7 linked regions of the Mus musculus genome follow. Each later gene encodes a partner of the first gene's protein in a complex. Links are inferred from orthologs where the notes say so. Each region holds a gene or a part of one and is shown in the gene's direction. Other genes may lie near its edges. The genes, in order: Snrnp200, Txnl4a, Eftud2, Cwc15, Snrnp40, Cript and Lsm8.

Region 1 (4,159 bases):
CCCTGCTTCCCAATTGTCCTACTCTGCTTCTTTCTCACATATATTTTATATGGAATAATAACCATTTCATGTGTAAATCAGGAACCATGGAAGGTTCTGTCTGGAACATGTTCCCAGAGCAGAAGTGCAGATAATTTCTTTGAGCAGTCGGTCAGTGACCAGCCTCCGCTAGCTCCTTTGCTTCTTTGCAGATCAACGTGCTTCTCCAAGCCTTCATCTCACAGCTGAAACTCGAAGGCTTTGCGCTGATGGCTGACATGGTGTATGTGACCCAGGTGAGGAGTTGCACTGAGTGATGAGCAGAGTCTAAATAGTTCCTGGGTTCTCTGTACTGTGTTCCTCAAAGCAAGGTGGCCAGATACTGCTGGTGGGCCAGCTGCCTGCTGCCACTTTAATTCACCACTCTATTGTGCTGATATTGAGCGTGCAGGAAGGGCGGGCTTTATAAAGTGCTAAGAGGCTCTGTAGGTCCTTGTAGAGAGAGATCCACAGGGCATGTCACCTTCTCCAGGAAAAGTGACTTCCCACCATAGCTTCATGGTCATAAAACATGACAAAATATTTTATTAATTTCTCTGTCTTAACCTAAAAAGGTAGGAGGCAGAAAAACTCTTGTTTCTGAATTGGTATGAGTGATCTCCTCAGATCTCGAGCTCATCAAATTGTGGTAGATAAGACTTCACAACTGGAATACTTGTCTTTCCCTAGTCGGCTGGCCGGTTGATGCGTGCAATCTTCGAAATTGTCCTGAACCGAGGTTGGGCACAGCTTACAGATAAGACCCTGAATCTCTGCAAGATGATTGACAAGCGCATGTAAGGGCTCAGTGAGCTAGAGGCTGGTTGCTGTGAATTTGGGCCTTAGTGCATTTGATGTTCAGTCCTGGTGGCTGAGATATGGCATGAACCTAGGTGAAAGCTGGGAAGTGGGAAGCCCCTGTAGAGGGTAGGGCTGGGGGGGCAACAGCTGGATTGGCTTTCTGGTCTTTCTGCTGTCAGTTTCAGACATCTTCCTCTAATGTAGGGTCTGTGTAGTTATTCCAGACTGTTGGAAGCAGTGATGAAAAACGTGGGGAAGGCAGTTTATTTACAGTGCTACAAAAGAGGTGACCCAGCTCTGTCTCCTTTCTGAATAGGTGGCAGTCCATGTGTCCTCTTCGCCAGTTCCGAAAACTTCCTGAGGAAGTAGTGAAGAAGATTGAGAAGAAAAACTTCCCCTTTGAGCGGCTGTATGACTTGAATCATAATGAGATAGGTGCGTGAAGGTCTTGTCCTGTCCTGCAGCCCAGTCACCTTTCTCTGTCAGCCTCCTCCTTCCTGTTCCTAGACCCTGGGCACTAGTTCTCATGTTTATATCTTACTATTGTGTAAGGCCACTCTTACACTCAGGACTTTGAACTGTTAGTATTGCACTGAGGCTAAAGTGGGGAGCCTATGCACTGGCTAGAATCTGCTCCTTTCCACAGTCGCCTTGGGCCCTGTTTGCAGATTTGCTAGGCTGGCTGGGCCCAGCCCCAATACTCTTCTTCCTCATAGGTGAACTTATTCGAATGCCGAAGATGGGGAAGACCATCCACAAGTATGTCCATCTTTTCCCCAAGTTGGAGTTGTCAGTGCACCTGCAGCCTATTACACGCTCTACGCTGAAAGTAGAGCTGACTATCACACCAGATTTCCAGTGGGATGAAAAGGCAAGGCTTGATGGTCAGATGGGTGGAGTTGGAGTGCCTGAGTCTCCCTCACTGGCTCGTCAGGATTTCTTTCAACCATGCTTGGGTTGGCAGGTCCATGGTTCGTCAGAGGCATTTTGGATTCTGGTGGAGGATGTGGACAGTGAGGTGATTCTGCACCATGAATATTTTCTGCTGAAGGCCAAGTATGCCCAGGATGAGCACCTCATCACGTTCTTTGTTCCAGTCTTTGAACCACTACCTCCTCAGTACTTCATTCGAGTAGTGTCTGATCGCTGGCTCTGTGAGTATCTCCTCTCTGTGTCTCCTAGGAACATACCTTCTAAAGATGGGAGAGGGCTTTTTGCTTTGTTGTAGCATTGTCTCTTTTGAAAGAGTGATACAGACACAAGCTAAGGTCTCCACTGTTCACAGATGAGCTGTGGAGGTCTGCTGGAGGGTTGCTTCCTAGCCTTCCGTTTCTTTCCTGACAGCTTGTGAGACGCAGCTACCTGTCTCCTTCCGGCATCTGATCCTACCAGAGAAGTACCCACCTCCAACCGAACTGTTGGACCTGCAGCCATTGCCTGTGTCTGCTCTGAGAAACAGTGCTTTTGAGAGCCTTTACCAAGATAAATTTCCTTTCTTCAATCCCATCCAGACTCAAGGTAGATGTCAGAGTCTTTTCTTTTTGGTTCCCATGCTTGCCTTTCCTTTTCTAACTGAGACAGGGTTTCTCTATGTACTAGTGCTGGCTATGCTGGAACTCATTCTGTAGCCCAGGCTGGCCTTCAGCTCAACAGAGATCCACCTGCCTCTGTCTCCCAAGTGATGGGATTAATATTGTGCCCCTTCTCCGCCCATACCTGCCATCCATGCCTACCTTTTTTGTTTTTTTCATGCCTACCTTTTTAAGGTTACCTAGTGATAAGTGTGTAGTGCGGCCGGCACTTTGGTGCTCTGCATACCTGCCTGAGGAGGGTGAGAAGAGTAAGGTCTTTCCATGTTGAGTTTTCTTACTCCTGCTCCAGGTGCTAATGCGTGTTCCTGATGCTTTGGTGTTCATCCAGAGTATGACTTTGACTGGGACCTCACTCCATCATTGTACATGATGACTGTTCACAGAGCAAGCCCTGTGCCCAAGTACTTGGCTGAGCACAGGACCAGTGTTTTCTCTCTTCTTCCATCAATCCTTTAAAAGGGTTACTACTTAGCGCCACAGTTAATTTACATTTCATGATGAGGAAGCTGTGGCCTAGACAGGAGCCCTAATTAAAGCAACTCGTAAATAGCTCGGCTTGCTGTCAGGGCTCCCCTTCAGTGTTTGATTATTTGTAGAGACTGCAGGAGACTTGCTGATGGGGCAGAGAAAGGTGTCTTGTTGTGTTTGTACTGTGGCACCGTCCTTGAGAGACAAAGATGCTGGGGTTTTTTTGCTTCTTTCTTTCTATAAATCTCTTAAGACACCTGAGCTTGATCTCGGAGTCTTTCCTTTCCTGCTTTGTAGGAGAAAGTATTGTGAGACACAGACAGCTGGACCAGCGTTTCAGGCTTCTCTGTATACTGCATAGCTGATTGACTTTGTGGCTCATAATCTTGACGAATGATCTGTTTTACTCCCCCTACCCGCACCCCCCCATGTTTACTTTACACCTTTTGGTTTCCAGTATTTAATACCGTGTACAACAGTGATGATAACGTGTTTGTGGGGGCCCCCACGGGCAGCGGGAAGACTATCTGCGCGGAGTTTGCCATCCTTCGGATGCTGCTGCAGAATTCTGAGGGACGCTGTGTCTACATTACCCCTATGGAGGCTCTGGCAGAGCAGGTATGTAATATGCTGTGGGACTGACTGTAAATTTCCCAGAAACCATTCCATAGGTGACCCCAGGAGGAGGTTTTCTCATTTCTGACAACTGCATTATCATTTCTTTTTTGTTTGTTTTCAAGTCAGGGTTTCTCTATGGAACTCTGGCTGTCCTGGAACTTACTCTGTAGACTAGGCTGACCTCAAATTCGAGAGATCTGCCTGCCTCTGCCTCTTGAGTGCTGGGATTAAAGGTGTACACTACTGCCACCACCAAGCACATTATTGTTTCTTAGAGAAAAGCTTTCCTGTCATTTAAAGGCTATTGTAGTTCAAACAATATCATTAATATAGTATGGTGGTACATGATTGTCATCTCAGATGCTTAGTAGGCTGAGGCAAGAGGTTTACTTGAACCCATAAAAAGTTTGAGGTTGGCCTGGGCCCCCCATCTCAAAACAAAAAGTAGAGCATAAGGTATGAGAGTGGCAGCTGTCTGTTGTGTCTCTGTTTCCTCCTAGCAAGTGAGAGGTGAACATGTGATCGACTGTTCTTATGTCTCCCTCCCCTGCCTGTCAGGTATACATGGACTGGTATGAGAAGTTTCAGGACAGGCTCAACAAGAAGGTAGTGCTGCTGACGGGGGAGACCAGCACAGATCTGAAGCTCCTGGGCAAAGGCAA
Region 2 (4,689 bases), on another chromosome or scaffold:
AGGATGAAGTTGAACTTAAAAAAAAAAAAGATGTATGAGTATGAATGTTTTGCCTGCACATATGTGTAAGTGCACTGTTTTGTGCCTTGTGCCTGAAAAGGCCAGAGTGTGCTGAGTCCCCTGGAACTGGAGTCATGGACGTTTGCCCACTGACATACGGGTGATGGAAATCGAGTCTGGGTCTTGTTTTATTTTGTGTGGCTTAGTGTTTTGCCTGCATGCATGTCTGAGTAAGGGTGTCAGATCTTGGAATTACAGCCAGCCATCATGTGATAGCTGGGAATTGAACCCTGGGTCCTCTGGAACTGCTGAGGCAACTCTCTAGCTCCAGAACCTGGGTTTTCATGAAAAGCCACAAATGCTTTTTATTTTGGAGTCATCTCCTCAACCGTTGCTTTTTAATTTGTAATTTTTATCAGGAGAGGGATAGTGGTGACTTGTACTTAATGCCAGTAAATGGTTAAAGTGGCAAACTTAAACACGTGTGTGTGCGCGCGTATGCGTACACACACACACACACACACACACACACACAGATATGGTAAAGAAAAGTATTCCTACTTGTAATAGCTTAAGAAGATGGTTCAGGAACACTGCAACGTGGTCTTGTAGGGAGGAAAATATGTTCAATTACCAATTGTGGAACATTATGGGTGAAGAGGAATGGATCTGTGAAAGAGAAATTAGGAGGATAATGGCTGAAGCCAAGGAGATCTGACCTCTGGGATAAGGTACAGGTCCAAAAACTTGATTATATCCAAGAGTGTCTGATGATGCAGAAAGATATTTTACAGAAGAATGCATAGATAGGCCTATGGAAAAGATCAGGAGCATGGCTGAAGTTTGGCCAAAGACTTGCCATATTTCTCAGCACAATAAAAAAATAATAAGCCGGGCGTGGTGGCGCACGCCTTTAATCCCAGCACTCGGGAAGCAGAGGCAAGCGGATTTCTGAGTTCGAGGCCAGCCTGGTCTACAGAGTGAGTTCCTGGACAGCCAGGGCTACACAGAGAAACCCTGTCTCGAAAAAAAAAAAAGAAAGAAGGAAAAGAAAAGACAAAAATAATAAAAATAGAGACAAATTACCCCACAACACTAGACGCGTTACGAGGTGGGGACGCTTGGGTCTCGACCGTGCTCTGGAGCACTTGCTAAAGAGGCTGAGCGCGAGATTAGACTCGGGTATCCCCGCCCCCTCGGCAGAGGCACCGAGTCGCCAAGAAGGCGAGCTCGACGCGCTCACCGACGGCTCGCTCTGCGCAGGCCCAGCTCGCTGGGCGGCGACCAGGGGTGGGGTGGGGACCAAGAGGCCGACGGCGACGTCCCCGCGCATGCGCATGACGCCAGCGTGCGCCTGCGCAGCAGCGCCGAAAAGCGTCAGCGCGTGACGGCGCGGGAGGAGCTGGTGCTGGGTGGAGGACGCGGTGTTTGGGCCGCGTGGGCTCACACGAGGTTAGAGGTCGTCTGGTGTGGCCCCATGGGGCAGGGGCTGCCGGGGTGTGTTCCCTGCGGAGGTGGCGATTCGAGGGTGTGGTTCCCGTGCGAGCCGAGGCCCTGTATGGGCTTTGGGCCCGGGGCGAGCAGTGGAGGTTTGGGGTGCGGTGGCCTGCAGGTTTGCAGTGGGGCCCTAGGCAGAGTCTGGGGTGCAGGCCAGGTTCTTGGGGTCCGGATGGGGTCGCGATCCTCTGCTCTTTCTACCCACAGGTAGCTCGCGGCGTCCGGCCGCGCAGGCGCGCTCAAGATGTCGTACATGCTTCCGCATCTGCACAATGGCTGGCAGGTAGACCAGGCCATCCTTTCGGAGGAGGACCGCGTGGTCGTCATTCGTTTCGGACACGACTGGGACCCCACTTGCATGAAGATGGACGAGGTTCTGTACAGCATCGCCGAAAAGGTAACTCATGTGCAGTGTTCGCCGTGCTGGGCCCCGCAGGGCGGTTTGGACGCCAGATTTCAAGCCCGAGTCCTGTGTTCCATGCAGAGACCCACAGAGAGACGGGGTTCATGTACGGGCAAGGTTTGTGCTAGAAATGGTTAGAGTTTCTTAAAATTTGAAGAAATTTATGATTTCCTCCTAAAATAAGTGATGATAAATTTTGGGGGTTTTTTTGTGATTACGGAAGGGGATGGATGGTCCGAGATAGGTCTTGTGTATGTATCTATATGTATATATAGTCAGACGGACCTTAAACTCGCCGCCTCAGTCTCAGAGTTCTGGGATTACCGGGCACCACTGTGGATGATGTTTTAAAAAATTTACTAGGGCCAGGTGCGGTGGCATATGCATTTAATCCTAGCACTCTAGAAGCTGAGGCACTGATCGTTCTAGGCCAGTCAGGACTGTATAAGACTGGGTCTCAAAAACAATGTATCGCCGGGCAGTGGTGGCGCATGCCTGTAATCCCACCACTTGGGAGGCAGAGGCAAGCGGATTTCTGAGTTCCAGGACAGCCAGGGCTACACGGAGAAACCTTGTCTCAAGAAAGAAAAACAATGTACCTTATGTGTAGTCAACAGAGTGACTTTGCAAGCTTTGTTGAGCTTGTTGGAGCTTACTTAGGCGGCTTAGCTTAACATTATTGGCCTTTTCTCAATATTTTATGGATTTATTGTATTTATGAAGCAGAACTTTTAGGTTAATACCATGATGGACTTTTTAGCCCCCACCCCCTCTCTGGGAGAGAAGAAAACCGGATTCACTGTGTCGCCCAGAGGGACCTTGCACATTCTTTCCTTCTCCCTGCCTCCTCCCAAGTCCTGGGATGAGCCTCAAGCTCTTTGTAAGTTACTTGATTTGTAGCTTGCAGTTATTCAAATGCTGAAAGTTGAGTTTGGGTGGAACTGGTGTTCTTAGTTTTCCATATTTATAAGCAGGGTGGCAGTACTTGTTTCCTGACACTGGAAGTGTAATTGTCAGGCACTGTTACACGATTAGGAGGTTCATTCTGTGAATTCCTCTTCACGGTTTTAGGATGACTTAACTTTTTTATGATTGTAACAATAGGGCAAAGACTGTAATATTTAATGATAAGTAATTTCAATATTATTTTATTTACTTTCTTATTTATTTGAGACAGGACCTCCCTACATAGCCCTGGAACTTGTGTAGACATGTATCTATATGTCTTTAGACCCTGCAGACAAGTCTATCTGCCTTTGTCTCCACCTTCCAGTGCTAGCTTTAAAGGTGTTTGCCACCATGCTTAGCCTGAAAGTCAAAGAAGAGTTAACACTGATAGAAATGCTGGAACTATTTTCCTTCTCACCCATGCTGCTAACGCCTGCTGGCTTAAAGTAGTTCTTAGCTTTCAAATGACGTCTGCCACAGGATTGTCACTTTATTTACTTGAGCTATAAGTGAGGCCAGGGTCAGGTGCCTTGCCACTGAACCATAGTCACCATAGCAAAGACATTCTCTGGAGTAAGACACGGGGATGTGTGCGTGTGAAGGAAAAGCAGCAGCATTTGGCTTTCTGCTTCCGTGTTGCGGAGAGGCTGGTGGAGGGCAGTTCTGACATCCAGTTATCACAGGTGTCTCTGCGAGTGCTTCTCTGGAAGCTTGGAACACGGTTGGTCTGGGCTGAGGCCTCCAGGGGATTCGGTGCAGATTAGCTTCTGAGGAGCAGCTTCTCAGCCAGCCCTGCCCTGTTCCTCTGGGAGTCTCTCTCCTGCAGGCGTGCAGGCTGTCCTGTCAGTCAGGCTAGAGGTACGAATGAGGTGATTGGGTCCCTCAGAAGGCAAATGCAGAGATTCACTGAAGCACCACTACAAGCAGGTCCACGGCTGAGTCTGCTTTAGTTGAGGACAGCTGTCCTTTAGTTATTCTGACCTGAAGGTGGTTTGACCAGTGTCAGGAGGGCTTTCCTGTCAGGAGGGCTGTGTCTGAGGCCCTTTGCTCTTCCCCAGCTAAACAGAACTTAAGCGTTTCCCGTACTTGTTATCTTGTTGTCTCAGTGCTGCTCAGGTGCAGACAAGGCCAGCCATCCCACTCACCAGACATGCGCTGTATTTGGTGTTGGGTTCATTGGTCTCCTTCAAAAATATTTCCTTTAGTCTTTTAATTTGCATTTTCTTTTGTCCAAAAAATGTGATTGCATTCTTAATGAGCTCCCTTTTTGCTCCTCTTAATAACTCTGGTACCACCATGCTAGCCAGGTGTCCTGTGCCCGTCCTCCTCAGTCACTCTTCACCTCGGTATTCACTGAGGCAAGGTCTTTCCTTAACACTGAGCTTGCCAGTGAGGCTCGTCTTGCTAGCCAGCTTGCTCTAGGGATCCTCTGTCTTCCATCTTTTAGGACTAGAATTAAGGTAGGCCATCATATCTTCTTGATATGGGTTTCTGGGGGTCTGAACTTGGGTCCTGCAAGCTCTTTAACCACTGAGCAATTTTTTCCATACTCTTAATAAACTTTTAATACTATGTTTTAGTATAGTTATTAAAAATGTAAGTTTGAATTACATTAAAATCACTGTTGTTCTACTTCCTTAGTGTAATGGCAAAATACACATTCGTAAGTTTGGGAACTCCAGGGAATTTTCAACATAAATTTTTGAAATTTAAGATTTTAGTATGTAAAGAACAGTATAACTATTTAAAAATCTCCCTCCGCAGAAATGGAAGATAGTGGGAGATCTTCCTCATCTTGTATGAGTCCTGTTTGGATATCCCAGCTGTTTTAAAGTGAGTAA
Region 3 (4,756 bases), on another chromosome or scaffold:
TAAGATCATCAGGTAGCAGAGGGTGGGGGCATGACAGAAGCCTAGAATGATCTCAATTTAGACTGCTTGCTTTTAATTCCTGTAGCCCACCATGAGAGGAGGGCCTGAGAAAAATAGCAAGCCAACCTGAACTCCTCATAGGAAGGCACCCTTTGCTCAACTGCCCGTAACTTGGCTGCGTTCTCCCTTTTGTACTTCTCGTCAGCAGCAAGGGCAGCCTGCAGCTCTTTCTCCAGGGCCTTGAAGTTGATTACATCGTTCTTCTCCATGGCTAAGGCCTGGGAAGGCAAGAAGAATGCATGTCAGCAGAGCTTAAGTCTTCAGGGTAAAGATGATGCCCTGGGATTCATTGCCAGAATGTGAAATGACCCAAAGCAATCTGATACTTAACCTGGAGTGTTATAAAAATCTAGTTTCTTCCTTTACAGGTAAAATGGAATTGCGTGATGAAAATGTATTCCAGGCTTCTCACTGAGAACAAAACAGAAAGGTTTCCCGTTTGAAGTCTTGACTTTGCTCTCTGCTTCTAACAATATTTTAGACACTAAGGGCTGGATCAGCGGTAGGATTTTGCCTTGTGAATGCAAATGCCTTGGGTTTGATCCCCAGCAAAACACAAAACCACAACACACACACACACCTATTAATTCAGGTGTTTCATCTGAGGAGGCAATTTGGAGTTCAGATTTCTGACTCTTCATTCTTTCACATAGGATTTCTCTATATCAGTTTATTACCATAAAGGAACAGAGCGGGGGAGGGGGGGAGAGGGGAGGACAGACACAGATACAGAGAGAGACAGAGAGGTTTCTTTTATTATCTACTCCAGCTCAAGGACAAAATTTCACACTTCACTAAATGTCTTTAATGAAGAAAAAAAAATCACCTCAACCAAAAGCAATGACAAAGCAGGAAGTTGAGAAGTGTCAGAAGGAGAAAACTCAGTAGCCTCCATCCCCAAATCCCTGAGCAGCACAGAGCGGCAGGCAAATGTGTGCTGTGTGGGCATTATCTCCAGTCCTACCACTGAAGTCCTGCCGCCTCCCGGTATGTGTCTGATGGGGCTGTTTTCATAGGAAGCTATGTGTTCCGGTCTGGCTTCTGACATTTACTTATGATACCTCTTTCCACCTCAGAATCCTGGTGAGCTGGAGCCATAGTTCACTCATGATCAGCCCTAGGGCAGGAAATGAGCTGGTCCGCAAGCAAATCCACAGCCATCCCAACCATGATGGGAAATGGAACGCCGAGAAGTGGGCTGTGTTACTCAGCCAACAATTGTACTCAAGAGTCTCATACCCTAAGCAATATTTTGGGGGGTGAGGAGATCTCGCTGTGCCTAGTTTGCTCTCTCCAAAACTTCTGAGCTCATCATGATCTAGGCTCAGCCTCTAAGCAATAGAGACGATAGACTCTCGCTACCCGACCCATTTCTCTGTCGAGTTCTAAGCCTTCTCCAATTATAGAATGACTAGAGCAATCCCCTTTACTGTCCCTAAACCCTCACCCAGTCTTGGACTCCCTGCTTTCTCTCGAGAAACCCCGGATCTGGTAGAACACCTTAGTGCATCGCCCTCGCAACAGAGATTGTTGCCTAGCAACGGCGCCACCAGTCTGCCCACGTGACCGGCCCGAAGGCCCTCCTTTCAGGCTGTCCTAAGGCGCCTGATCAGAATCCTCCGGCCTTGCTTTTTTTGTGGAGAAGTCCACGCTTCGTTTTGAGGACCAACAAGTTGGCCTTTCCCATTTCTGTCTCCGGGGCCAGAATTTCTCGAAGCTGTTCCTTAGGCAGAGCTGTCCTCCGAGGCGAGGCGGTCCGGCGACGCGCTCGGGGTCCTTCCTAGCGCCGGGCGCCGGCGTTGTCGCGGCGTGCGGCGGAAGCGCGGGCTCAGGCGGCGGACCGGGGCACTCGGCTGAGCATTCGGCGGGTGAGCTGGCCGGGAAGGGTCCTTTCGGGGCTTGGGGAACGAGCGAAACATGAGCTTGGGAAGAGGCGATTTATATAGTACTTATCCCTTTCGCTTAACGAACGCGTAAATTGAATTCTGGCGTGGGAAAGAGAATGAAAGACCCCAACGCACGCACACACCGTCGATTCCGGGGTTTCCGCGGTCCCCAACGTGGTTAAGATCCTGTCCCTTAGTAGAGGTGGCGCTGTAAAGACCCAGGCCCCTGCCACTCCCCCTTCCATCGGTGCCTGCTTCACCGCCAGACTGTCTCCATCTTCAAACTATTCTGCATCCGAGCTGACTGTGATGGCGAGTGCCTAATTTTTGCGCTCTGGAGATGCAGACAGAAATATTGGTGCAGGTTCAAGGCTAAGTAGCGGGTCTGGTTCAAAAAGCCAAAACCAGAAAAGATTCCAGCATTCCTTTGAGATTCTGCGTTGCAGTGGGAAGATGCAGTTTTGGTTATTTAGAGTAGCTTTACTTAAACTAAGCATATCACTAATTCACTCCCCTACCCAAAGCCACCCTCGAAAAACAAAACTAGCAAAACGTATTGAGGGCCTATTTTGTCCCAGGCACTGTTGTCGTTTTGCTCCTATTTTATTATTAACATTTATCAGTAGCGGGCACACACACATGTTCCCTAAGTACTACTCAGGCATAACCTTGACTTTACTTAGGCGAGGGGTGTAACTCGGTGGAGAAGTGTTTAGTAGAGTGTGAGGCCCAGGATTCGATCTTAAGCACCCAGCCACACACTAAGAGATTAGTGTAAGGGTGGCCTGGCAAGTATATGTGGAGTGACAAATAGGTGACATTAAAGGAAAAGGGTGAGTTAAATGAATTAAGAAGGTATACATAGCCAGAGGACAATGGGAATGACAATTATCCTGGGGGCAGAGATGAGTTTGGCTTGTTCAGTAAACAACCTTCTTTAAAAATTTGTGATGGTAATCTTGGGAGAAGACAATGAACATAATTGTGGTTGCCTCTTAGAAATAAAAACAGTAGGTATACTGTAAGAAATACCAGAATTTCAGAACAAAACATTCCACTCCCTTAGCTTTACTGAGTGTCTTTTTGTGCAAGGTGCTGTCAGGGGCATTGGTGCGTGAACACAAAGGAGCATGGGGATTCACGTGCTCAAGAAGGTCAAGTTTTGTTATGACCAACATTTGTTACTTGTTGCTTTTTGAGACAGGGTCTCTCAGGATGTATGTAGGATCATGGGTATAAGATCCTATGCTTGGATAATCACACTGTGTGTGTTTCTGTGTGTGTGTGTGTGTTTCTGTGTAGTAAGTGAGGATCAGATGTGCTGTGGCTTGCAGGTGGAGGTCAGAGGACAGCTTCAGGGTTTGGTCCTATCTCCTCCTTACTGCCAATACCAGGCTAGCTGGCTCTGAGCTTCAGAGAATCTCTGCCTCCCATTTCCTGTTGGCCGTCTAGGATCACAGACACTCACACTACCCTATGTAGCTTTTCAGTGGGTTTCCAGGACTGAACTCAGGTTATCAGGCTGCACAGCTAGGTACTTACTCATTGCCTTTATAAGGTTTTAGGCAATAATAAATCACTCTAAGGAGGTAAACTAACTTCTGTGAGTTACGTCATCCTTAGAAATGAGGCCAAGATAGGATGGATCGAGGTCTTTAACCCCAGGGGCCTGATGCTTTTTCCCCTGCTCTGGTTTGTGTTGCTCGCAAACCGTAGAATTGTTTTTTAGAATAACAACAGTTGCCTAGCATTTGGGACAGAAGATACTGACGAGAGTGAGAGGCTGAGGGGCTGGGAAGGCTGGTAGGGTGAGATCTAAACTGTTCTTTTGAACAGAATATTCAGTCGTTGAAGTGGGGGGAAATCTGCTGATGTTGCAGACAATTGTAAGGTAGCGTGTGGTTGATGAGATTCGAACCTGGGTCCTTTAAAAGAGCAGTGAGAACAATGAGTTCTTACCCATCACTAAGGGACAAGCATGTCCGCTGTCACCATAATTAAGGGTCAAAGTTAGAATCATCAGTGAGGACAAGTTGGAATCGTGTACCTCTCAGAGCAGAGGCAAAGCCACACGAAGGGAGATTCTTCAAAAGCCTTGGTTTGTAATCTGGAAAAGTGTCACGTGAAAGTCAAGTACGATCCTAGTTTGTGTCCTTAGCAGTGTCGTTTGTGACTGGAACAGTTTCTCAAACTTGGTGGAGCCTGTGGATTAGGTAGTATAACCTGCTGGTATTCATTTTTATTTTGATGATTGCATTGTGATATTTTGAGAATACTATTTTTTTTTTTTTAAGTGAGATGCTGGAAAGAGAGTTTAGCATTTCAGAGTACCTGCTAGGCAACCATGAAGACTTGGAGTTAGATCCTACCTAGAACTCACATGACAATCCTCATGTTCCTAAATGATCCAATGCATAAAATTACACACACACACACACACACACACACACACAGTTTAATTGATTAAATAAATACAGAAAGGGAATAGGTGGACTAGGCATTACTTGTACACCTGTTATGTGGGGGGGGGGGGCAGAGGCAGAGGATCTTGAGTTGAAGGCCAGGTTGGGATAACAGTGAGAACCTATTTTAAATGTAAAAATAAAGCCAGATGGGACTGGAAAGATGTCTCAGTGGTTACGACCACTGACTGCTCTTTCAAAGGACCCAGGTTCAACTCTCATCATCCACATGTTAGCTTACATCTGTCTGCAATTCCAGTTCCTGGGGATCTGGCTTGTATGGGCAATGTGTGCCTATGTGTATGGTACCCAGATATACATGCAGGCAAAACACCCATACAGAGAAAA
Region 4 (4,159 bases), on another chromosome or scaffold:
GTCATCCCCAAAGCACAGCAAAGTGTGATTGATGTTTGATTTAAGTTATGTTAACAGATAACTACAAAAATTACAGGTAAGAATTTTAGAAATTTTGTGTTTCTAATTCTTAAAATGAAATGGAGTGATTTGAGTTTGAAGAAATTTATGTTACAATAGTAGTGAAGAAAGTGATCTAGAAATGGTGACTCACACCTCTGATCCTGACACTCATTGGCTAAGGCAGGAAAATCACAAGTTGAAGGCCAAACCAAACTAGCATTGAAAATTTGTGTCTTTAAAACAAATGGAGAATGGGCAAGATGGCCTAGCAGGGAACCTACATGATGAGAGAATGGATTTCTGCAGGTTGTCCCCTGACCTCCGTTGTACTGTGGTACCCATATGCATGCATGCACACACGCTAAATATATACAGAAATACTTTTTAAAAATATAGACAGTATTGTAACAGTGAAGAAAGTATATAAGAAAGGTATAGATCGCTAACAATAAAGCATAAGAACAAACGATATTTTATATAAATTAATTGAAGTACATATTATTAGAATGTGACCATCTTTTACATGACAGTTTGTCTTGTCTTAGGAATTACTCCCTAGTTAATAACTAATTCATCCTAGAGATGGAAACTTAACATGGTTTGTAACTCAAAATTGAATTATGTTGTCTGTAGCCCCTTAAAAAGTGAGACAACAACCTTGCTAGCATCTCAGCTTCTCACAGTTTAGAGAGGCCAATGACTATTGGCAAGGATGGGATAAAAATGGCAACGTGCTTAAGTTTTATTAGTAAGATTTTCCTGGCATTTACTAAGAATCAAAAAGAGGAGTGGGTCAGTGGTAAAGTGCTTTGTAGCAGGCCTTGCACCACCCCATCCCTATCACTGCAAATGGGGGCCTGCACACCTACCATGCACTCAGAAGGTCAAGGTCATCCTCTGCTACCTAGCGAGTCCCGTGCCAGCTTGGGTTGCTGGAGACCCTGTCATTAAACAGAAAAAAAGGAAAAGTATCTTTTCTCCCTGTACCAGATGAGTTCATTGTGGGCTAATATTGGTCAGCTGACCTGGAGAGAGTAACTTTGTGTCTTCCTCTGTCATTGACAGGAACAAGAACAAAAAGCAGAGGAAGAGAGAATTCGCATGGAAAACATTCTGAGTGGAAACCCTCTCCTAAACCTCACTGGCCCGTCCCAGCCTCAGGCCAACTTCAAGGTTAAAAGAAGGTACGAAAAGTCATGGGTTGGTGTACGTGTGTGACCATGGTTAGTGTTCCGTGTGTTCTATAAAGTTTCTAGGATCCCACTTTCTGTTGATAACCTTCCCAATCAGATTTTAGAATACGGAAGATGAAAAGAGGTGGGAGACTTCATTTTAATGCATACTTATAATAGCCAAGTCTCTGCTTAGTGATTGTCTAAATAAGAGAGCCAGAGTGACTGTAGCTACCAAGCTTTACGTGAGATGTTAGTGTTGGGGTCCCCAAGACCACCCCTCACAATTCAATTCTAGAAGGACTTAGGGGACTTGGTATGGTGGTATTCATGTTTGATATTATAAGATACACACAGATCATACAGTTGTAAGTCTTCATGGATATACATCCAAGTCACAAGGTGGAGAGATATAGGCTTCCTTAAAATCCTGTTCCTTGTAAGAGGTCACCAAACAGTGAAACTAAAGTTGAGACTCAGGAGTCTCAAGGGAGTGGTCCTGTAGGAACCTGTGCACTATAGGCACAGTGATGGTGAGAGAAGGTGCGGGTTTCCAGTGCTAACTAACCAAAGCTACGCTTAGAGTCGGGGCCCAAGAGGGAACTCTCATGTACAGTGTGCAGAGGGGGACAATAAAGAGCTGAAGAGGGACACCGATGTCGGATGAGGATGCCTCACAGGAGCAGGGGTAGTGTGTGTGAGGGTGTGAGGAGCTCCACTGCCTCATCTCTGCATACACGGCAATGAAGAAGCACTGCCCTGCCACTCTCCTGCTCACTCACTCAGTACCTACCCTTCATGAACAAAGCTCCGTCTTCAGCCTCTTTTCTCATCCCAGAACCATTGGCTTCTTTACTCAATCACAGGAAAAGTACAGCCCTTGTAGTGACCTATGCAGCTAAACTTTAACCCACATTCTTGAAGACAATAGTACAGTCAAGGAGATGGTTGCTGACAACTAGCAATTTATCATAGCTCAGTCTCTATTCATTTGACCTGAGCAGTTGCGAGGCAGGAATGAGGATGAGTATGGCTTATGCTGAATGTGAAAGAGGAAGCAGGTTTGAGGCATTGTAGGTTTGGAGTGTTCTGTACATCTCTTAAGTAAATCTAGCCTGTGTGTCTCTGCAGTTTGTCTAAGCTAGAAATTAAATAATGCATCTGGGAGTTGCCAGCGTGGGCAGAGAGAAGTCAAAAGATTGTATCAGCACTAGAGAAGTGCCCAGTATAAGTGCATAGTAAATGCATAATACATAGTATTTGAATTTAAAATCTTATGCTAAGACTTAGCAGCCAGAGAAGAGGACAGCCAAGAGAGTCACAGAGTATTGGGAGAGGAGAGAGATGATGGTCTAGGGATGGTGATGTAAGTGCAGAAAGGGAGGACTGTATCTTAGCATTGCAGAGGGGCAGGGCAGTTTGGGTGTTGGGAGCAAGCGAGGAAGTGAAGAGAAGCTATCAATTACATGTTGCATATGAGACAAAACATTTGTATCCCTGTCACACTGAGCAGGTCAGCTTTTAGTGTGTGTACTGCATCAAGACAAATTTACTGACATAGTTTCCATAAGTGTGCATAGCTTTGCTCATTTCCCTTGTGCAGTTTCTCCTGGTGGTCATGCACCAGCACATGCAAGCATGTTACATGGGCTGTGTTTAATGCATGTTTTTGAGTGTCTTTATTATATGTAAGGGCTTATGTTTATGTAGAAGGTCATAGCTCTGGTCTACGTATTTCCCGTAACACCTGCTGATGAGTGTGTTTAATGTTTTCTGAAATATAACTGAGCTCTACTCTGAACACTTCAGCAGCCATGGGTCTATAAATCTTTCTTGTTACATTCCTGTAGTTCGTCCTTGCATTATGAAGTGTGCCATGGTAGATATAACTGATGAGAATGTATGAAACTGTACAAAGCACAGTAAACAGGTCACTTACTGTCTGAAGGTGTCTGGATCAGGACAAGTGGCCCTGCCTCTGTGTTTTAAATCTGAAAATACCACACTTTTACCTAAGCACAATCTATGTGTGTCTTCTTTGTAACTGACTTGCTCCTAGTGGAGAAGTGGTGTCTGCTCTGAGTGGGGATGCCCTCCTGCTGTGACAGCCCCACACAGTAGGCATGCTGCTGCTTTTGCTGTCTGGTGACAGCATGTTGAGCATCTGTGATGGTTTATAGTCTGTTGTGTTCTTGTCTCCTGATGAACTATAACAGATTTGTTGTTTGTTTTTCCTCTTTAGATGGGATGATGATGTCGTTTTTAAGAACTGTGCAAAAGGTATAGATGACCAGAAGAAAGACAAACGATTTGTAAATGATACACTGCGATCTGAATTTCACAAGAAGTTCATGGAGAAATATATTAAGTAATATAGTTTTATGTGCTTAATTAAAAACTAAACTGTTAAGGATCAATTTGACTTTTTTTTTTGGTTTCTGTTCTTTCCCAGTGTTAACTTTCTCAGTCTCTTTCCCTTAGTGTAGTACTTTATTAGATAATGGGTTTAGAAATGGATCTAACCAGGCCTTAGTTTCTTTTTAATATGGGAAACGGGGAATCTGCTTGTAATAAATATTTTTAACCTAAATAAACCACTGTCCCCAACTTTTTGCTACAATTTATACAGCTTATAAAAAGTTGCATAATTTCTTTTCAAAATGAAAACTACTTTTGTGTGCTGTGGGTTTTTTTTAAAGATTTTATTTATTTATTTTATGTATATGGGTACACTGTAGCTATACAAATGGTTGTGAGCCTTCATGTGGTTGTTGGGAATTGAATTTAGGACCTCTGCTCACTCTGGCCCAAAGATTTATTTATTATTGTAGATAAGTACACTGTTGCTGCCTTCAGACACACCAGAAGAGGGCATGAGATTTCATTACGGGTGGTAGTGAGACACCATATGGTTGTTGGGAATTGAATTTAGGACCTCTGCTCAC
Region 5 (4,159 bases), on another chromosome or scaffold:
TTTTTTTAAAAAAAAAGCAAATAAGGAAATTTTCCACATTTTACCTCTCCAAAGATAATTATACATTTTTCTGAAGTTCTTTTCTACCAAAATTGTTGAGTTTTGACATATTAGGGGTGTGTGTGTGTGTGTGTGTGTGTGTGTGTGTGTGTGGAGAGAGAGAGAGCGAGAGCGAGCGAGCAGCCAGTTTGGGGCATTGGTTCTTATTTTCTAAAACATGAGCACGGAGATCAGGCTTGGTAGTGGCTACCTTTACCTCTGAGCCATCTCACCAACCCATGATCTTATCTTTTTAATTTTTATTTTTACCTGTTCATAGCCTCGTGTTCCAAGATTAGATAGACATTATACTAATAGCATATGATGGCATTTTGGAGGTGGGGTGTGTCTGTGCCCCTACATGCGTACCTGTGTGCATTTAAGGACAAAAGGACATCAGGTGTCCTGATTTACTGTTCTGTACATTTCTTTCTCTCTCTCTCTCTCTCTCTCTCTCTCTCTCTCTCTCTCTCTCTCTCTCTCTCTCTCTGTCTCTCTTGCCCTGGCTGTCCTGGAACTCACTCCGTAAACTAGGCTGGCCTCGAACTCAGAAATCTGCCTGCCTCTGCCTCCCAAGTGCTGGGATTAAAGGCACACCTGGCTTTCTTTCTTTTTTTTTTTTTTTTTTTTTCTGGTCATTACTCTCTTGAGACCAGTTCTCTCCCTGAGTCTAGAGCTGAGTTGGTGAGCAGCAAGCCCCAGTGGTTCTCTCCTGTCTCTGCTCTGTCAGAGAGCTAGGGTTGCAGGTATGTATGGCCATACTCAGTGTTTATGTGGAGATTTGAACTCTGGTCCTCATACCGGCTAAGCCATCTCCATCTCCACGGCCCCTGTTTTTTCTCTCTGAATCAAGGTCTTGGTCATTTACTCGGTCTGATCTGGAATTTGCCATCCCTCTGCCTCGACTCCTGAATAACTGGGACTGGAAGTGTATGACACTGCACCTGGCCTGTTTCACATTTCTGATCTCAAACTTCACAATGTTGCATTATTACATTGTGAATTAAGAACACATTATAAGGAGCTGGAGGGATAGTTTAGAGGCTAAGAGCACTTGATGCTCTTGCTGAAGACTCAGGTTCAGTTCCCAGCACCCCAGCACCCACATTCTTGTCAACAACCCTAAGTAACTTCAGTTTCAGAGCATCCAGTGCCCTCTTCAGGCCTATAGACACTGCACACACGTGACAAGCAACATACCCTTTGGCATAAAATAGAAAGAAATTATTTTTTTCTTCAGCATTATAATTGTGCGTACTCCATTCCCAGGTCTTGGGTGGTGATGGGGCAGGAGCGTCTTGAGTTCAAAACCTGCCTGGGCTACATAGCATGGTCCTGTCAGAAAGAGCAGTATGAGATCAACTTTAACATAGAAATCATTCCCAGAGACAGAACAAAGAATTGGAGTTACTCACCTATTAAATCTAATTACCACAGTCAGCCTCATCGTAACCACAGCAGGTGGTACTTAAATACTTCATCTTAGAGGGCAGTGTATCCATATGTATCTCAAAAAGGGAAAAAGGTGAGTTGATAGACCTCTGTATTGTTCCTATGATGTGGATCAGCCTGCTACAGAATCTAGAGGGTGAATCGGGTGGCCAAAGGTAGGATGAGGCACACTGTGGTCATGAGCTAAAGTCACAGTGCAGCAGGCAGTGAGATGAAAGAACCTGACACATTTTGGTTGGGGGAGGGGAGAGAGAGAGAGATGACTTTTGCCCCTTTTTTTCTCTCTCTCTTTTGAGATTTATCTTCTTATGCGTTTAGGTGTTTGCCCTTCATGTATATCTGTATACCACATGCATGCAGTACTTATAGAGGCCGAAAGACAGCATCAGTTACAACCGGTTTGGGGTCGTTTTCTGTGTCCTGGGAAACCAACTCAGGTCCTCTAGAAATGCAGCCAGTGCTCTTGACTACTCTGGTCTCTTGTCTTACTTTGTGTTCTCTTTCTAGCATGCTCTTCTCAGCGTCGACAGACAAAACTGTGGCGGTGTGGGATAGTGAAACTGGGGAGAGAGTGAAAAGGCTAAAGGGGCATACTTCCTTTGTGAACTCCTGTTACCCAGCCAGGCGGGGCCCCCAACTTGTCTGTACTGGCAGTGACGATGGTACAGTTAAGGTGGGTATTGTTTTTCTGTGTCTCGCTGTCTGAGGTGGCATAATGTAATCTCTATCCTGTCTTCCTGCCAGTATTCCAAAGCACACTTAAAATTTCCTAATTAAAATACTACTCTGCAGAATTCTATAGAATATATTGCTACTTGGAATCAATGGGCTGTGTGGATCTGACTCATGGCTCAGTGATGAACTGTGTGACTTTGAGCAGCTCACTCTCCAAGCATTACTGTCTTAGTCTTTTTAGTTTGTTGGGGTTTTAATTGACTGTTTTGGGGTGTTGTTGTTGTTGTTGTTTGGTTTTGTTTGTGGTTTCTTTTGGAGAGAGGATTTCTCTGTCTACTCTGCATAGACAGGCTGTCCTGGAACTCATTCTGTAGACCAGTCTGGCCTCGTGTACCGCCACTGCCTTGCGGACTTCGTTAACCCTTTGAACTTTATTAGTAGTAATATAAGTGCTTACAAGGTTCTTGTGAAATTACAGATATCTAAAAGAGGTCAGCAAATGATCTCAGTCACCTACTTATGCAGATCATTTTGTTGGATGATTGCCAAACTGTGTGTGTTAGAATCACCTGAAGAACCTATTAAAAATAACCAGAGTAGCGCATGCCTTTAATCCCAGCACTTGGGAGGCAGAGGCAGGCGGATTTCTGAGTTCGAGGCCAGCCTGGTCTACAAAGTGAGTTGCAGGACAGCCACGGCTACACAGAGAAACCCTGTCTCGAAAAACAAAAAAAAAAAAAAAATACCCAGAGTAGAACTGGTGTGCTGGCCAACCTCAGCTACATAGTGAGACAGTCTCAAAAGACAGTTAATAACACTAACACGCCCAGAGTGGTGGGCAAAGTCAGAGTGGTCATTCTGAGCTGTCCAGCCAGACTCTGTCTCAAGAAAAAGAACTCAATAAATGAATCACAAGTAAGCAAAAATTAATCAGAACCTGGTTCAGTGAGTCTAGAATGGCCATGAAAGTATTTAAAATGTTACCCCACTGAAATTTTAGAACCCACTGATCCTATCCAGCATGCTCATTTTACAAATGAAAAAAATGGGGCCTAGAAATAGGAAGGGGGGGAAAACAACAATCGAGATCTCTCCAGGCATGATGCTTCATAATACCACCTGAATCATGCGTTTCTCTGTGCCACTCTCATGCCTGTGTCCCCTGATACCATGTCCACACCATGCACACATGCGTGCGCGCGCGCACACACACACACACCTGCTACTATTCCCCCTTCTCTGGCTGCCACGTCCTGGCCCCTTACTTTTTATTTTATTTCTTAGATACACCTATTTTATGTGTGTGGATGCTTTGTCTGCATGTTTCTATGTGGACAACATGCATGCCTCGTCCTCCATAAGAACAGTAAGTACGGGGCTTGAGAGCTGGCTTGCCAGTCAGGAGCACTTGCTGTTCTTGCACAGGGCCCAGGTTTGATTCCCACATGGTGGCTCACAGCCCTCTGTGACTCCAGTTCTAAGAGATCAGGTGCCTTCTGACCTCCGCTGGCGCTTGAGACAGAATTTCAATAAGTTGTCCAGTTCAGCCCTGAACACCTTCTGTAGCCCAGGCTAGCCTTGAACTGCAGCATTTTAAGTAGTTGAGACCATAGACCTGTCTTAGTTAAAAGTTATTATTGCTGGGATGAAATACCATGACCAAAAGTTTGCCCTTTGTCCTCATGTTTAAGTGTATAAGTTACTGTGTATGTCTGTGTGTGCCAAGTCCATGCTGTAGATCCACAGCAATCGGAAGGCATTGCACTCCCTGCAACTGGGATTACAAGTGGTTATGAACCGCCATGTGGGTGCAGGGACTCAAACCCAGGTCCTCCTCAGTAGCAAAAAGTGTTCTTAACTGCTGAGCCATCTCCTCAGCCCCAAAGTAATATTTTGTAACACGAGTAACATCTCATATCACTTAAAGATTCTGCTTTTGCATAGTTTTTTATTTTGAATTTATTTGAAGACATCAAACTTCTTCTTGTTGTGG
Region 6 (4,809 bases), on another chromosome or scaffold:
CTTTCAGAGCCTCAAAAAGAAAATTCCTGTAAAAATTTAAATATTTGTGACTGGTTTCTACAAAGGGGACATGTGCCAGACACCAGCAACTAATTTTACTTTTTTGGCGAAAATCACTGCAGTTCCCAAATGACAGCCAAGTATACACTTAGATATGCAAATGGTGGAGGACCATCTTAAGATGGTCATTATGCTACACTAAGGGCTCACACTGTCTGTACAGATGTTAAATAATGGTAATAGCAGAACGCGAGTGGGAGGAGAAACAATAGTTTCCAGTCTCTAAATACATATATTTGACCTAGAGAACAGTTTCTATGTTATACTGACTAAAGTTAATTAAGAACTTAAAAGTAACACATGTTACAATGTAGTAAAAATCGGGCCCAAAAAGTAACATCCACACCGCAGGGTGAGGAACTAGCAGGAAAGGTAAAAGCGCAAGTCTGGGCATGGTGCTATTAGCCCTCATTTCATTCACACTTATCGTTTTCAAAAGCAAATGATACTGATTAAGAAAACTGGATGAACAAGTTAGCAGATACGGCCAAGGTTACACACGCACAAGCCATTTCAAGCATCGCCTCTTTAAACAAGAAGAAATCCTCCAGGGTCGGGACAAGAACGCATAGCCGTGAAAAGACTTGGGGAAAGTTTCTCAGATTCTCCCTTCCACTGCGGGGTCAGGCAGGAAGCGCGATCAGAAATCCATCCTAGGCCACCGGCAAACACCCATCTAACACGGCGAGCGCGAGCGGTACCCAAACGCAAAGGTGACACCGGCGAGCGAGTCCCCGACCCAGGACACCACACCTGGGAAGCCGCCCTCGGGACTCGCGATCCCGTGAGAACGGGGTCGGAAGGCTTGGCTGCTCCCGAGCCCTCCTCCTGAGCAGCCTTTGCTCAGGTGCGGACCGCAGCTCCACCCCACCCAGGTGGCTCCGTCCCAGCCTCGGACGGCGCAGTGTGGGCAACTGGAGGTCGCCATCATAGAGAGAGCCCGTGCGGCCGACCCGGTGACCTGAGGTCGGAGTCCCCTGAGAGACTGTGATAGACGCCGGCATCTCAGAGGGTCGGTAGCGCAGGGCATCCTCTGGTCCGCCGGAAGCGTGGCGCCCTGGAAGTCACCGCAGCGGTCGGCGGTGCGACCTGCACCCGCCCCGGGCGAGTGTGAGAAGCAACCCGCCACCGGCTTACCTAACTCTCCCGCCCGCCGAAGGGAAGGGGGACACCACCGCCTCCCACCCTCAGGTGCTACAGGCTGGCATGGCCCCTGGCGCAGGCGCAGACCAGAAAGCGAGGGGGCGGGGGGAACTCACAAGCGCACAGCCAATCGTTGACGAGAAGGGGCGGGATAATGAGAGCAGCCCCGCCCATCAGCTCGCGTTTATCCCTCCCGCGACTTTCTAGGTACGGGATAGGCCGGAGCGGGAGGGCTGAGAGTCCGGAAGCGGGCTGACGTAGCCGGAAGAGGAAGTCGTCTCCGCTGGGGCGTTGTTGTGTTTGGGTTGCTGCTCCTGCTTTGCCGGCTGAGGGCACAGGGACACCCCCATGTAAGGATGGTGTGTGAAAAGTGTAAGTTCAGGGGCTGCTTCTGGGGGAGGTGGAGGGCTGAGAAGTTCTCTCGGGATTTCTCTGGTTTTCCCCTGCTGGTCTGTGGCGTAACCGGTGTCTTCCTACCCTGCCCCTCGGCCCTTCTTGCCTGTCCCGTAAGCATAGCCTTCCGCTCTGTGTTGAGAATGGCTTCAGTTCTGCGCCTCTTGTGTTTGTTTCTGTTGTCGTCCTCGCGCCCCTTCTGGGTCTCCTCCGTTACAACTTCTTGATTGGCTCTCGGAGGCTTAAATCGGATCTTCACGATCTTTCTGGTAGCATCAAGAGTTGACAGATGTCACAAGTATAAGTTCCAGGCTCTCGGTTACATCTTAAGATTATAAGCAATGGTTAATTTCCAGTATTATTAATATGTCCCGAATAATGTTTAAATCTTGACTTTCTGCTTTTCCTTACTACAAAACATGCCGCATTTAATACAGATTTTATTTATTTATTTATTTATTTTTGGTTTTTCGAGACAGGGTTTCTCTGTGTAGCCCTGGCTGTCCTGGAACTCACTCTGTAAACCAGGCTGGCCTCGAACTCAGAAATCCGCCTGCCTCTGCCTCCCCAGTGCTGGGATTAAAGGCGTGCACCACCACCGCCCGGCTAGATTTTATTTTAAAAATTACTTCAGTGGCTATCTGAAATTAAGTTAAATTGGATATTTTGAGCCATCCCGTCAATTCATTAATACTCACAGCTTTGGGTCAGGTGAAGGAGAGAGTCTCATCACCACCAAAGAAATCTTTAAGTAGTCACCCCTGGCTTTTAGAAAGGTCTTTTTAACCCTTTTAGTTACCATTCAGTAATTCCAATGAAACCCTTAAGATTTGTTGTAAATATTTAATTTTTTTTTTTTTGGTAGCTGCAAAAGCTGATGATTCGTTTAAAAACAACTTTCTTCTCTTGATCTCTTTCATGGGCTAGACAGCCTTCTCTGACAAGATTCAACCCACATCTCAGTTACTGGCGGATATACAGGACCCATTTTGTTCATAGCCCCTCAGTATGTAGAACTCTGGACACAGACACCCCTCCAGAGCTGTGCCATTCTTAAACGGTTTTTTATTCTTTTCGAAAGTGGGATAAATGGTTAATTAAATGTGGCTTAAATGTATTTAGATTGTGAAGCCGTCCTTTGTGCTGTGCCCTGAAAGGTCATTTCCTCTGCTCTTCTGAGAAATCTAAGGTCTTATTATCTGTAGCCTCTCAGTCTGTCTGCTCATTGCATGCACCCCGTAAGTAAACTGAGGTACTTGCATACAGAAGCTGTAATGTCAGCAGCCGCCTCAGTTCAGTCTTCCCTTGTATCACACATTATTCGAGAAAGTTACTTTTCTCCAATTTTTTAGAGTTACCTCTTAGAACTTGGCACGTACGTGTTCTCCAGTTGTGCATTTACTGAGTTCCAGGGAGTTTGGTTTCAGTGTGCTTTCTTTTCCTTGTTCTGTTAGGTGTTTGAGGACTGTTTGGCCTCAGCTGGCACATCCATACCACTGAGCATCCAGTGCTCTTCTCCACCCTGAACAGTGCCCTACTTAAACAGTACTAAGTAACTGTCCATTTGGAGCATATAAATACAATATATTTATCATTTTAAATTGCTTTGTTTTCATCAGAACCTTGCATGGTGCTTTGTACAGACTAGGTGATTAGAGAATGTGAGAGAGAGGAATGAATAAGTTTGTCAGAACTGCTTAAAGTATAATCAGTTAAAGCCTGTTACTAGAGCATCGTTTTGTCCTGTAAGTTTTATTTAGAACCAGTATCTGTTGCCCACTGTTACTATCTTAAGTTTTCATTCATTGGTTTCTACCCTGGCATTAGTAGGTTCCTCCTATAATCTGACTTCATATCGTTATGTACTTTAGGCGATACAATATATTTATCATTTTAAATTATTATTGTAAAGTTAGCAAAGAAATGGGTTTTGTTATTTTATTTCCACACAGTTTGCTTATTAGATGACAGCTGTTCTCTTTTGCTGTCTTGGCGACCACAGGTGAAAAGAAACTCGGCAGAGTTATCACTCCAGACACATGGAAAGATGGTGCCCGGAACACCACAGGTACTGTTTGCTGTTAGGAGACAGGAGCTGGGTCAAGCGCTGTGGCCCTGCTCTGGTGCGTCACATTTTGCACAGTGCAGTGTTAGATGCTGATTACCTTGCCCAGTAAACACCGAGGGCTCGGTTCTCCTGGGAGTGCACATCTTTCTTCATCATCTGAGTTACATGTACGGATTCCTCATATAGTCAAGAAGTAGTAAAATTATTATTTCAATGTATGTCTATTTGATTCAGATTGGTAAAGTCTGTGTTTACATTTCCTTCCCACATCTAAGTTTTACATTCTCAAACAAATTTAGACTGCCTTACTTTTTTTTTTTATTAAACGCATACAGCAAAGCCCAGTGCAGTGATGCATGCCTTTAATCCCAGTACTTGAGAGGCAGAGGCAAGCGGATTTCTGAGTTCGAGGCCAGCCTGGTCTATCTACAAAGTGAGTTCCAGGACAGCCAGGGCTATACAGAGAAGCCCTGTCTCGAAAAACAAAAACAAAACAAAACAAACAAACAAACAAAAAAAAACCAAAGTAGACAGATGTTACACATACAAAAAGAGTGTAGGCATTGTCAAAGCACTACTTTAAGACTGAACAATAAAGCAATTATACAGTGTTCATTAAAAACTGGGCTATTATATGAAGATTTTTAAAAATTACAATAAGGGTCTGTGATGGTTTGTATATTCTTGTACCAGGGAGGTGTGGCCTGGTTGGAGTAGGTGTGTCACTGTGGATGTGGCCTTAAGATCCTCACCCTAGTTGCCTGGAAGTCAGTCTTCCACTAGCAGCCTTTGGATGAAGAGGTAGGACTCTAAGCTCTGCCTGCACCAATACCTCCCTGGAAACTGCCATGCTCCCACCTTGATGATAATGGACTGAACCTCTGAACCTGTAAGCCAGCGCCAATTAAATGTTTGTTTTTTTTTTGTTTTGTTTTTTTGGTTTTTTTTTTGTAAGACTTGCCTTGGTCATGGTGTCTGTTCACAGCAGTAAAACCCTAACTAAGACAGAAGTTGGTACCAGGAGTGGGGTATTGCTGTGATAGGCCTGACCATGCTTTTATTTGAAAGAATGTGGATTTTTGGACTTTGGATTTGGAACTCAGTGGAATGCTTTAAATGGGGCTTAGTGGGTCATCCTAGTAGGA
Region 7 (3,577 bases), on another chromosome or scaffold:
CTTTAAGAATACTGGTGCCTGCCTGTCCCTTGCAACTCCCAACAACTCTACAACAGTGAGATTGATGGTACAGGTTTTCCCCATCATAAAACAAGTAGGAGGATAAGCTCTGTGTCGTGGAATACTTCTGGACTACAGAAGATAGTTTATCTTCTTTTGGACAGAAAGGAAGACATAAGTACTTGGCTGACAACTGAAATGGTTTGATTTATATATTCAGGACCACATTATTTTTTGTTTTCTTTTTCTTTTTTTTTTTCTTTTCAGGGAACACTAAAAGGTTTTGACCAGACCATTAACTTGATTTTGGATGAAAGCCATGAGCGGGTGTTCAGCTCTTCACAGGGAGTAGAACAAGTGGTGTTGGGGTTATACATTGTGAGGGGCGACAATGTGTAAGTACATAAGTCATTTTGAGTACATTTGTGCTACTGGTATGTTTGCTTTATGGAAGAGAGAGTTTCTCCAACATACATGATGCCATATGTATCATAGAATTGTGCACTTAACTTGTTTTGTAGGTAGAGCTTATCTTATATATAATTCTAAATGCTGTATGTTTAGATGCCTCAGGGGTCAACTAAAGTGATCTCACAAACAGTTGCCTACTGAGATTTCCTGTGTCTTTACTTATTTGAGAATCGGGGTTTGAACCTAGAATCTTGTACATGGGAACAGGCAGTCTACTACTGAGCTGCGGTCTCTCTTTTTACATCTTGAGACCAGACCTTCCTAAGTTGCTCAGACTGACTTTCAACTTTAGGTTCCCCTACAACCGCAGCCTCCTAGTAGCCTAAACCATCATTGTGTGTGCCCAGATATGTCCACAAAGGGCCCTGCTTTTTCATCACATTTCTTAAAGAGGCTTCTTAACGATTTGGAAAATATCTTTTAAAAAATCTCCCATTTGAATTATTTTAAATGGTCCACGCTCATTTAACTGTTACTATTTTTAGTGTAGTGGATGTACTTAATGTGTGCCACGATGCACCTATTGTTTTGTTGAATTAGGACCCTGACAGTGTAGTTTGAGAAAGGCTGTAACCATTTCGAGCAGTGCTCTTCACAGTCACTTTTTCTAATGATGGGAAGCCTCACGCCTCAGCATTTTCCACTGTTACAGCTACTTGCTTTGTATAGCTGTGGTGTGTTTGAAAAGCGGCTGGTGACCAAAGAACTAATTTAAAAATTGATTTTGGGGTTATGTAGTTTGTTTGTTTGGTTTTGGTTTCTGAGGATAACCAGGCTGACCTGGAACTTGTTACCAACCCAGATTTACTTCATTTTCCTTTAGCTTCCCAGGTGTTAGCATTATACATGTAATCTACCTCCTGTGGCTAACATTTAAGTTTAAATACTATGAATAGTCAAAATATGACTAGAGGACAGCAAAAGACGTTAGTAACTAGGTGGTTTGAAGGGCTCCGTAAGATGTAGGGAAGAGACACTGAACTTACTTTGTGGATATGCTTAAGATTAATTTATTAATACTGTACACTTATTTTAAAATGAACACATGCTCTAGGCACTTAACTTTATCTGAAAACTGTATTTTGGTAAATATGATCAACTGATCCTTAATTAAAATTGTGTTTACAATCTATAAAATAGTCTCTGGAGATGACTTTTGGCTTAGATTATAACGTGAGTTATAAAGAGTGATCCAGAGCAGAGGGCCAGGTCCTCTGACCACAGCAGTACTGATGAAACACTGGGGGTGTGTGGACTGATGATTACGGTGCCTCCTGGGTCTATGTACAAAAAATAATTCAGAATTAAACATTTACCCTAAACCTGCTGGGACTAGAGCCTGCTTTCAGGAACCCATGAAAACAGTTTTAAGAATTTTTGCTAATAAATGGATTAGGGTCTTGTTAGTAGCTTGCAATTAGCCCCACTACCCCATGGAGACTTTTGTTTGCCTCATATAAATGCTGCAGATCAGATGTCAGTTTTCCAAAGAGCTGATGTTCAGACTCTTCACAGTATCTCTTTACATATGTTCCTGTCCTACCTTCACATTACTTCTTGAGTCCCATGACATGGGTAATTCAGTTCACTTAGTGATGAGATGAAATGGCTTTTGTTTCCTACCTTGTATTTTTGCTGCACCTTCTCAGTTCCACATGTTTAAGAAGCATGAAACAAGATGCTGTAGTTAATGAGACTTTAGAAATGTATGTCAATTTATTTTAGAAATGTTTTGACTCTTTTTTCTCATATTAATAACAGAGCAGTCATTGGGGAAATAGATGAAGAGACGGATTCTGCACTCGACTTGGGGAACATCCGAGCAGAGCCTCTGAACTCCGTAGCACACTGAGACCTCAGTGTGTAGTGAGATGTGTGTAAATCCTGTACAGAAGCGTCTGTCCTGAGAGTGATGTTTAGGGTTTTTATGAGTGTGTAATTGTGCAGTTTGACTTCATGTTGGTACACTGTAATATGTAATTTAAATATTTCTACATTTTTTATTGGGAAACATTGCCTAAATTAATAAATGTGGTTGGCTGGTTTATTTTTCTACCAAATGATACAAAAATCTAAGGATCATTTGAAAACTTAGAAAATACCATTACTTTTGGTAATTTAATATTTATGGGAAATTGGCTGTAAAGAGAACTTAGACTATTATTGTAACTTATACTAATGCAAATAATAGTAATAAAAGACACATTTCTTTTTGTGGTTTTCTTTTCTTTCCTTTTTTTTTTTTTAGAAATACCAGATAGTAAATGGCCGTCTACAGGTAACTGTCATAGAGTTTATCCCAATGTGGTACAGTTCTCCAGTAGTTGGAAAAATTGTGTCTAAATTTTTAGATGCCTGTTAAGGTCACAAGATTTGGTTTCTGAAAGAAGATTTTGTGAATGTTAAATGCCATTGTACTACTGAATTTTTTTAAACTAGAGTGAGGAATATCTCTATTCAAAGAGCTTTTGTTTAATGTGGGAAATTAGTTAAATCAAGAGCAGTGCTCTCTGCTGTCTCTCATTACTTAGTCCATGAGGCAACTTTTGTTGTTTTGTTTTTTGTTTTTTTGTTTTGTTTGTTTTCTCAAGACAGGGTTTTTCTGTGTAGCCCTAGCTGTCCTGGAACTCACTTTGTACACCAGGCTGGCCTTGAACTCAGAAATCCGCCTGCCTCTGCCTCCCAAGTGCTAGGATTAAAGGCATGCACCATCACCTCCCGGCTCCGTGAGGCTACTTTGATAAACTTTTTAAAAATATTCATAGAAACAGTGCTGTAAGGTCTATTTAAACATTTTAAGCATTCAAGGAACTCATCAGTTTAACGTGTGGACCAAAATGGATGGGTATCTTAGTGTCAGAGAGATGTAGACATCCTTTTAATTCAAATAAAATTTGTCTTTCTAGGATTTTTCAGTTTTTAAGTGGAAGTATACAGTTTTCTATGAAGATGCAATTAGTAAAAATTTTAGGTTTTAAAGGTGATGCGCTCTCCATAACAGTTGGTTGCCTCTCGTGTTAAAACATAAACAGCCACAGATAATTCATAAGTGTGTAGTCTTGGCTGTCTTCCCAATAGAACTTTGTTTACAAAGCAGGCGGGCTCT

Evidence for each region.
Region 2: Snrnp200 (region 1) and Txnl4a share a complex: the UniProt entries of both Homo sapiens proteins name them as parts of the U4/U6-U5 tri-snRNP complex. The link is inferred for Mus musculus from reciprocal best matches to the Homo sapiens genes SNRNP200 and TXNL4A.
Region 3: Snrnp200 (region 1) and Eftud2 share a complex: the UniProt entries of both Homo sapiens proteins name them as parts of the minor spliceosome. The link is inferred for Mus musculus from reciprocal best matches to the Homo sapiens genes SNRNP200 and EFTUD2.
Region 4: Snrnp200 (region 1) and Cwc15 share a complex: the UniProt entries of both Homo sapiens proteins name them as parts of the minor spliceosome. The link is inferred for Mus musculus from reciprocal best matches to the Homo sapiens genes SNRNP200 and CWC15.
Region 5: Snrnp200 (region 1) and Snrnp40 share a complex: the UniProt entries of both Homo sapiens proteins name them as parts of the U4/U6-U5 tri-snRNP complex. The link is inferred for Mus musculus from reciprocal best matches to the Homo sapiens genes SNRNP200 and SNRNP40.
Region 6: Snrnp200 (region 1) and Cript share a complex: the UniProt entries of both Homo sapiens proteins name them as parts of the minor spliceosome. The link is inferred for Mus musculus from reciprocal best matches to the Homo sapiens genes SNRNP200 and CRIPT.
Region 7: Snrnp200 (region 1) and Lsm8 share a complex: the UniProt entries of both Homo sapiens proteins name them as parts of the U4/U6-U5 tri-snRNP complex. The link is inferred for Mus musculus from reciprocal best matches to the Homo sapiens genes SNRNP200 and LSM8.

What each region holds. Positions count from the first base shown.
Region 1 is NC_000068.7:127,228,351-127,232,509, forward strand, and holds part of Snrnp200 (U5 small nuclear ribonucleoprotein 200 kDa helicase), read left to right. Parts: intron 1-191; coding exon 192-275; intron 276-708; coding exon 709-815; intron 816-1,135; coding exon 1,136-1,254; intron 1,255-1,535; coding exon 1,536-1,690; intron 1,691-1,783; coding exon 1,784-1,973; intron 1,974-2,163; coding exon 2,164-2,337; intron 2,338-3,336; coding exon 3,337-3,497; intron 3,498-4,055; coding exon 4,056-4,159. UniProt on the Homo sapiens protein: Catalyzes the ATP-dependent unwinding of U4/U6 RNA duplices, an essential step in the assembly of a catalytically active spliceosome. Plays a role in pre-mRNA splicing as a core component of precatalytic, catalytic and postcatalytic spliceosomal complexes.
Region 2 is NC_000084.6:80,205,450-80,210,138, forward strand, and holds the start of Txnl4a (thioredoxin-like protein 4A), read left to right. Parts: upstream 1-1,376; 5' UTR 1,377-1,452; exon of another isoform or gene 1,453-1,612; intron 1,613-1,704; 5' UTR 1,705-1,741; coding exon 1,742-1,894; intron 1,895-2,660; coding exon of another isoform or gene 2,661-2,780; intron 2,781-4,612; coding exon of another isoform or gene 4,613-4,651; exon of another isoform or gene 4,652-4,681; intron 4,682-4,689. UniProt on the Homo sapiens protein: Plays a role in pre-mRNA splicing as component of the U5 snRNP and U4/U6-U5 tri-snRNP complexes that are involved in spliceosome assembly, and as component of the precatalytic spliceosome (spliceosome B complex).
Region 3 is NC_000077.6:102,878,067-102,882,822, reverse strand, and holds the start of Eftud2 (116 kDa U5 small nuclear ribonucleoprotein component), read left to right. Parts: upstream 1-1,847; 5' UTR 1,848-1,928; intron 1,929-4,756. Other genes in the region: Ccdc103 (coiled-coil domain-containing protein 103), read right to left, coding at 127-269. UniProt on the Homo sapiens protein: Required for pre-mRNA splicing as component of the spliceosome, including pre-catalytic, catalytic and post-catalytic spliceosomal complexes. Component of the U5 snRNP and the U4/U6-U5 tri-snRNP complex, a building block of the spliceosome.
Region 4 is NC_000075.6:14,506,744-14,510,902, forward strand, and holds the end of Cwc15 (spliceosome-associated protein CWC15 homolog), read left to right. Parts: intron 1-1,107; coding exon 1,108-1,226; intron 1,227-3,456; coding exon 3,457-3,586; 3' UTR 3,587-3,877; downstream 3,878-4,159. UniProt on the Homo sapiens protein: Involved in pre-mRNA splicing as component of the spliceosome. Component of the PRP19-CDC5L complex that forms an integral part of the spliceosome and is required for activating pre-mRNA splicing.
Region 5 is NC_000070.6:130,366,191-130,370,349, forward strand, and holds part of Snrnp40 (U5 small nuclear ribonucleoprotein 40 kDa protein), read left to right. Parts: intron 1-1,998; coding exon 1,999-2,164; intron 2,165-4,159. UniProt on the Homo sapiens protein: Required for pre-mRNA splicing as component of the activated spliceosome. Component of the U5 small nuclear ribonucleoprotein (snRNP) complex and the U4/U6-U5 tri-snRNP complex, building blocks of the spliceosome.
Region 6 is NC_000083.6:87,024,101-87,028,909, forward strand, and holds the start of Cript (cysteine-rich PDZ-binding protein), read left to right. Parts: upstream 1-1,460; 5' UTR 1,461-1,559; coding exon 1,560-1,575; intron 1,576-3,598; coding exon 3,599-3,664; intron 3,665-4,809. UniProt on the Homo sapiens protein: As a component of the minor spliceosome, involved in the splicing of U12-type introns in pre-mRNAs. Involved in the cytoskeletal anchoring of DLG4 in excitatory synapses.
Region 7 is NC_000072.6:18,851,369-18,854,945, forward strand, and holds the end of Lsm8 (LSM8 homolog, U6 small nuclear RNA associated), read left to right. Parts: intron 1-267; coding exon 268-395; intron 396-2,232; coding exon 2,233-2,323; 3' UTR 2,324-2,684; downstream 2,685-3,577. UniProt on the Homo sapiens protein: Plays a role in pre-mRNA splicing as component of the U4/U6-U5 tri-snRNP complex that is involved in spliceosome assembly, and as component of the precatalytic spliceosome (spliceosome B complex).